2 linked regions of the Macaca fascicularis genome follow. The protein of the gene in region 1 purifies or fractionates together with the protein of each later gene. This does not show direct contact. Links are inferred from orthologs where the notes say so. Each region holds a gene or a part of one and is shown on either strand. Other genes may lie near its edges.

Region 1 (4,035 bases):
ATCTCAGCTTTGTTCACTAACAGAGCAGGCCTGACTGCTATCCTTTGAAAGGCCTGTTTATAACAGGGAACCCAAGGGTTCCTACCATTCGCAGAACTGATAAGAGTGGCTCATTGTTCCTGTTTACACAAATGATATGGTTTATGCTGAATGCCTGCTTTCCTTCTAGGAGCCTGGAATTTTGGGGCCTGCCAGGTAGAGGGTGTCTATGTGCCCAGCCCCCAGGAAATCCCTGGCACTGAGTCTCTCTAGCTTCCCTGGTGGGCAACATTCCACATTTGCTGTCAGAACTCACTACTGGAGGAATTAAGCGTGTCATGTGTGACTCCCTGGGGGAGGGCTCTGGAAGCTTGATGCCTGCCTTACTCTGGACTTTGTCCCATGCATCTTTTCCTTCTGCCGGCTTTGTTCTGCATCCTTTTGCTATAATAATCTTAGCAGTGAGTGCGACTACATGCTGAGTCCTGTGCCTGAATCCCCCAGCACATCGCTGAATCTCGGGATGATCTTGAGGACCCTTGACACGATCTGGAATAGCAGTGTTTACAGCATGGCGCTGGACTTCAGGTAGAATGCCCTAAATCTGCAGAATCACTATTTGGGATGTATTTAACCATCCTCTAGCAGCTACTCCTATGTGGAGATCTAACTGTAAATGGATCTGTCGGGATACTTTTGGGCAAATCCAATAAAAACCATCCACACAACAGCTCAATGCCACATGACTTATGCTAGAATCCCATTTACTCTAAAGGGCGTGTTGAGTCCCAAGAGCCAGGAGCAAAAGTTTTAAACAATCTCTCAAAATTCAGAGGTTGATCAGAAGGAGCGAATTATTATACTAAATTTGGCCTGAGGAGGCCTCCGTACTTGAGTCCTTACGTAAGGAACTACAACCTACGTTAGAACTTAAGCGAAGCGAAAGCCTATCGTAGGAGTACACTCTTGTAACATATAACTGAGTCTCAATCCTTTACAGCAGCTGAGCATCAATCACAGGCAGCCAGCTGATTCAAATAAGGCAAATCAGAGCGGTAACCCTAACCAAGTTGTCTCGGTACCTCACTTACGTTTACTGTCCATAAATACTGCCTGACAGCATAGGCTTGGAGTTCTTATAACCTGTTCTAGTTCTGAAGGTTGCCTAGTTCTTGAATCATTCTTTGCTCAATCAAACTGTTTAATTTGTCTAAGGTTTTTCTTCTTAACAACACCAATCCTAAATATCTAATTACAGAAGATGCTATACCCATTTGGCAAATTATGGAGAAAAAAAAAACACAAAATGTTACATATTATAATGACAAGGATTTGACAATTTGGAATAACGTTGGGAAAGGAGAACTGAAAACACTCTCTTGAAATCATGCAATCTGAATTACGGATGTCTACAAATAGTATTTTACACCTCTACAGATTTTTCCTACTATGTTCATGTTCACCATCTCATTGATTTAAGGCCACCTGGAGATAAAGATAGTAAGAGAAGATTTTAGTGGCCTCACAAACACCGATCAAAGGAACAGACATAAATGAATAGCAGAATTAGGGCCAAAGTCGCCAAGTGCATGCTGAATTGAGCAAACATCAAATACGAAAACCAGAAGAGATCTTAGCTATCTAGGCTCTAACCCTGACTCCTGATTTTTTACTGGTGAAAAAATAGAACCCACGGGTTCAGTCTAAAACATACTCATTTCTATGGGTCTCCGCTGGTCTTACTGGCAAGAATATAAAGATACAGAGATAACTGGATCAATTTTGCCATTTTCTAGCTCAATGACTAGGGGCAAATTATTTTCCTTTGAACGTCAATTTCTGCCCCTGTAAAACCGGGATGATGACTGACCCATTTTGTTTTGTGCTCCTAGTCCTCCATCCTCTTAGAAAAGAGTGCTAACAGCATTTATTTCACAAAATCTCTGTGCTGGTCTGGTTGATCTGTTAAATAAGCTGTTTCTGTTCATTGCTCACTATACAACTCACAAGAAGGACCCGCTTTTCAGGATCAAAGCACGACTGCCATCTGGTGGCAAGCGACCTTAGCTGCAGGCACAATTCAGAAGTTCAGCAGCCTCTCCAGAGACAGGGGTTTCACCCGCTCCACAAAGTGAAGGTAAATGTCAAAGGTAAACAGGCAGGACCGGGCGCTGTGGCCAACAAGATCAAAAACGCCGATCTCATTTAGAATTACGCATTAGCCCTGCACTACTCCCCCGCTAAGTGGCTGACGTCCCATATTTGAGACTTCTAACTCCTTTGCTTTTCTTTTTCTGGGTCCAAGACATCTTGGACAATGTGATTACAGTTCGAAGTGATCCTTCTGCTCAACCTTCTCTTTTTAACCTGAGGAAGCTGAGGTCCGGGGGCAGTGAAGCAACCAGTCCGGGTCCCCACAAAGGGCGGCGGCGGGGCCAGTCGCGGGACCCGGTGTTCTGACCCACTTCGCGCGCGCCCCAGGGTGACTGTGAGGAAGGCGTCTCCGGGAGACACTCGCGGTCTTTCTCACTAGCAGACCCGCGGCCAACTTTCGGGGAGCTCTGCGGCGAGCAGGACAAGCAGAGCCAGGCTCGGCTCCCCGGTCCCCCGACCCCATGCGCCAGGCGCGCCTGGAACCCGCGCTCCCAGTCACTTGGGACTGCCGTGCGGGTCACCCAGCATCTTCACCGACGCGCCCGGGTCGGGCCTCTGCTTCTGACACTCACGCTCAGCCAGCATAGACATGTCGGAGAGCCTGTGATACCGCGGCCTCTGGACCTGGGTGACTGCGGCCACTGGGCGGGCAGGAAACTCCACGAGAATCAGGACCAGCGTAACTCCCTCGCAGGCTGACTGCTGCAGACGGGGCGCGTGCTGGTGACGTCAGTGGCGCGCGACTCGCTCCTCGAGCACGCGGCGGTGAGAGGGCGGAGCAGGGCGGGGCAACCTGGGGCGGTGACGGGACGACCAGAGGCTGAGGGGGCGGTGGCCGCCCGGCGGGAGGTGGAGAAAGGAGTACGTATTCGCTCATTGGCTGGAGGGAGTGTGCGTACTAAGTGATTGGATGTGAGTAAAGCCCGCCTGGGCGTGTCTGCCGCGGAGTACGCGCTCACGTGGGTTACCTGTAGGGTCTCCATTAGGAAGCCGTAGGTGCCGGCAAGGAGGGTAGTGGAAAGACGTGACCTGCCCTCAAGCAGCTCAGCCTCACGGGGAAAAGAAATGTGTAAAGAGCTGAAGTTAGGGTCATCAATGTTGTATGGACAAGGAGTTTGAAAAACTTGGCTGGAGGGGAGGACTTTGTACTGTATTGTCCCATCTCTTCTTCATACCCTACCTCTGCTTTCTGAGATAAACAGATGGATGATAGATGGATAGATGGGTGGATGGATGGATGGATGGATAGATAGATAGATAGATAGATAATTAGATACTAGATAGATAGATAGATAGATAGATATTAGATACCAGAAGATAGCTCTGCTATCTATCGGTTTTTGTGTGGGACCCGATGGATGGATGGAGGGATGGATGGAGGGAGGGAGGGAGGGAGGGAGGGAGGGATATGAGAGATAGATATTAGATACCAGAAGATAGATCTGCTATCTATTTATCGGTTTTTGTGTGGGACCCAAACTTAAACAGGTAACTAGTTCTGGGGAAAATGTTATCTCTTTAATTAATGGGATGCCTTCAACAAGGCAAAGATTTTATTTATTTTCTCCACCACAGTGCACACACTGGAACGTTGCCTTTATCATATCCATTTCTGTATTCGTACCAGCACCTCGCAAAATAATGTGAGTACGGTAAGGCTCCATAGATGTTTGCAACATTTAATTAAAGTGTCCCTGTCTCCAGGGGAGTTCTAATAAGATCCTAGCGATAACACTTTTAAGTATGGTAAACACATGTTTTTGGATGAGTGACTCTCCGGTAAACTTCAGGTGACAGTGCACACAGAAGCCTTTCCTACATAAAAGGAAGGTAAAAAGAGACAACTCAGACGCCAAGAAAAGCAATTGAAGATTCTCGTTTACAATGAAATTCTCCCTTTAG
Region 2 (3,568 bases), on another chromosome or scaffold:
CACACCTGTAATCCCAGCATTTTGGGAGGCCGAGATGGGTGGATCACTTGAGGCCAGGAGTTTGAGACCAACCTAGCCAACATAGTGAAACTCCGTTTCTACTTAAAAAGTACAAAAATTAGCCTGGCATGGTGGCGCACGCCTGTAGTCTCAGCTATGCGGGAGGCTGAGGCAGGAGAATCACTGAGGCTCAGGAGAGGTTGAGAATCATTGAGAATCAGGAGAGGTTGCAGTGAGCTGAGATCACACCACTGTACTCCAGCCTGGGCAACAGAGCGAGACTTCACCTTAAAAAAAGGCAAAAAGTATCAGCATTCCAAAACCATGGTGGACAGGTGCTTTTTATTCTGTCCTTCAATAATATCCACTGGTGCTGTGCTAGAGGCCGGAACTGGGGGTGCCTTCCTCTAAAAGGCACGGCTTCATGGGAAGAGAAATAAGGGATTTTTAAATCCCTTACTGGATGATTGTTAAACCAGTGGTTTAAACTGGGGTCCTGTCATTCTGAGTTAACAGTCCGGATCTGGACTTTGCCTCTTTCCAGAATGCTCCCTGGGGTTTGCTTAACAGGGAAGCAGCAGGTGCGGACACCCTCATGTTGGGGGAGTGGCAGGTGTAGATGCCCTCGTGCATGGTGCCCAGCACATCCCTGCTGCAGCTCCCTCCCCACCAGGACACCGGTCCCCTGTGCTCCCCACAGTCCCTGTTTCCCCCTCCCAGCCTCACCTGATCCTGGCCTCTGCTGGCTTTGTCTGGGTGATTTGCAGATTTCCTGGGCTCCCGGCACCTCCTTGCCTCTCCCTAGGCGCCTCTGCAGCACTGGCCATACCATCAGCCGTGAACTGTCCACTGTTTATTTTGCTCCCCATGAAATGTATTTTTTAGGACAGGCACCCCTGGTTCCGGCCTATGGCACAGCATCAGTGAATGTTACTGAAGGACAAAGCAGACAGACAAACGAATCAGGAAAATGGGTTCTCTCTGAACACATTGCAAAGCCACAAAGGCTAGTGCAGGATGGGTGGGCATCAGGTCGTCAGATGTGGGTTCAATGCCAGAATATTCTGTGCTCCCAAAGGCCACTTGGTCAGAGTGCCTGCTTGCAGAGGTGGTTGTAAAAGCTCAGCAGTAGAGGCAGTGGTTCGCCGCACTCGGGGTGAACACACGTCCTCTGTGTCTGAAGCATACAAAGGCTTGAAGGGCATCTGGGAGAAGAAAACAGGCAAGATGATTAAGAAAAGTGAAAAAGGAAGAGTGTTAAGATGGGAATTTTCTTGTCCAGATTTTAGTCTCCCAAACCACAGCTTAGATGGCAGAATGTGGTGAGAAGTGATGGACAGTACAATAGAACAAAACGGAAGCCCTACCTCTCAGAAACGTGTGTTAAATGTGGCATGTGGCACAGCTGACGGAAAAGAGAGTGTGTGTTTAATTTTGTTTTCTGAGAAAACTGACTGGAAGCAAATAAGTTGTGTCTTTACAACATGTACCAGAGCAGATTCTAGGTAGAAGAGGAATGACGTGCAAACAACAGCAGCAACAGAAACAAAACGGAAGACTCAAAGGGAAGGGAGGTGAACGTTCCCTGATTTGGTGTTGGGGAAGGACACGGAGGGAGGTAGATGAAACCAGTGAGGCAACAGCTATTGCTTTCACGCAGAGGAACTCAGCTTGCCTGAGCCGCAGTGAAAATGGCTGTTCCCTGGAGCATTTGTGCACATGATTTATTTAAGGCACTCTGTGAGGTCCTGCACATTCATCCTCTCACTTTGTTCTCCTAACCACCTGAGAGGTAGATGAAGAAGGCCTCCAGGGTAGCACCCAGCTGGCAAGGGGCGTGTGTGATTGCAGCCTGGCCTGCTGCTCTGGGGCCCTTGCTCCGCCTGAGGACCCCACACAGGTCAGACCCACAGGCTCGGGGCTAGCCGGAGCCCAAGGTTGTGTTGGTGACAACTGTGAAGGAAGAAATGGACATCTGATGCACACTTGGGAAGGTTCTACCAGCAGCATCAAAGAAATGCGTGTGAAACTGACAGCGAGACCCGTCCTTTGTGCTGGCTCCTTTTCTGGGCTTCCCAAGAGCCAGCATCAGGGTGAGGCAAGTTGGAAAGACTTTTCTGGAAAGCAGCTTGTTTGCATGGAAGTCCTTACAATGTCCTGTGTTTTCCCAGTAATTCCACTTCTGAAGTGACCAGACATTATCACGGGTCTTATTTCCCATTTCCAGTGCTCCAGGTATGGGGGAGGGGGGGATTGCCACAGCAAGTCGCCAACCCGCCCAAATCCAGGGCTAAGCAGATACTATGTATCACAAAACTTAACTCTGCTGTTAGACATGTTTTCAAAGAATTTTTGAAGAATGTTTAATGGCACAAAACGTTTATTTCAATGTAGCAGTGTTCAAAGCTGGATGTAAAAGAACGCAGCCCAGGGAGCCCGCTGTGGATGTCACGTGTGTTCGTCTTTGGACACGGATGTACACGGGCAGTGAGTGGTGGCAGGGCCCTAGAGGACGTCGGTGGGATGCCTCCATCCTGCCCCTCTGGAGATACCCTGTGTGTGCCACGTGCACTCACTGGAGCCCTCTTTAGCTGGCGCCACCTGGCTCTTCCATCCATGAGATTCAAACACAGTGAGATTCCCCATGCCCGACTCAGTGTTCTCCCACAGAGAAGCTGAGTCACACCCGTGTCCGCTCGAGGGACGCCTGGGAGTCAGGGCTCCATAGTTTATTATGTATTTTTGGCCGAGTTATGTGCAGATCTCATCAGGGCAGATGATGAGTGCACACACACGGCCGTGCAAGGCTTGGATACACTCAACATCACTAGCCACGTCCTGGTGGAGTCTGGCCATGCAGGGTCCGGATGGCGTGTAGCGTTTTGAGTCCACGGAGAGAGCACCCGACTCCCTCAGGCTACAGCGCGTGCCCCAGGCAGGACAAGGAAGCAGGAGGAAGGCAGGAGGCTCTTTGGAGCAAGCTTTGCAGGAGGGGGCTGGGTGTGGGGCAGGCACCCGTGTCTGACGTCCCCCCTGTGTCTCAGCTACGCCCGGACCTCCATCAGAGCCAGTCTCACCTTCAACCGTGGCTTCAAGGCCGGGAGGAACATGCGTCGCAAACTCTTTGGGGTCTTGCGGCTGAAGTGTCACAGCCTGTTTCTGGATTTGCAGGTGAGCAGGCTGACGGTCAGCACAGAGTTCAGAGTTCGAGAGGCATGTGTGTTACTGTGTGCACGCATGTGTACGTGTGTGTGTGCGTGCCTGCAAGGCTGACGGTGACTGGCTGCACATAAGAGTGCACATGTGCGCAGATGCACGCGAGCCATACGTGTGTGTGTACATGAAGGCATGGCAGTGTGTGCACAGGTGTGCAAGGGCACAAGTATGAATGTGCACATGCAAATGCATACCTGATGTGCATGTGTGTTCATGTGCATTCGTGTGGGATTCATGTGAGGTGCATGCGTGTGGGTGTGCGGTGTGAGTAGCATGTGTGCACATAACCTGTATCAAGGGCCCCTCATGTTCACCCTGCTAGGTCCTCAGCACCAGCGCCCCTCCTTACAGG

Evidence for each region. Proteins that work in one complex are often made in the same cells at the same time.
Region 2: the proteins of PINX1 (region 1) and TERT purify together in Homo sapiens (co-immunoprecipitation; 3 studies listed by BioGRID and IntAct, with this or other methods). This does not show direct contact. The link is inferred for Macaca fascicularis from reciprocal best matches to the Homo sapiens genes PINX1 and TERT.

The regions. Positions count from the first base shown.
Region 1 is NC_088382.1:10,071,983-10,076,017, reverse strand, and holds the start of PINX1 (PIN2/TERF1-interacting telomerase inhibitor 1), read right to left. Parts: upstream 2,862-4,035; 5' UTR 2,725-2,861; coding exon 2,706-2,724; intron 1-2,705. UniProt on the Homo sapiens protein: Microtubule-binding protein essential for faithful chromosome segregation. Mediates TRF1 and TERT accumulation in nucleolus and enhances TRF1 binding to telomeres. Inhibits telomerase activity. May inhibit cell proliferation and act as tumor suppressor.
Region 2 is NC_088380.1:1,609,569-1,613,136, reverse strand, and holds part of TERT (telomerase reverse transcriptase), read left to right. Parts: intron 1-3,044; coding exon 3,045-3,171; intron 3,172-3,568. UniProt on the Homo sapiens protein: Telomerase is a ribonucleoprotein enzyme essential for the replication of chromosome termini in most eukaryotes. Active in progenitor and cancer cells. Inactive, or very low activity, in normal somatic cells.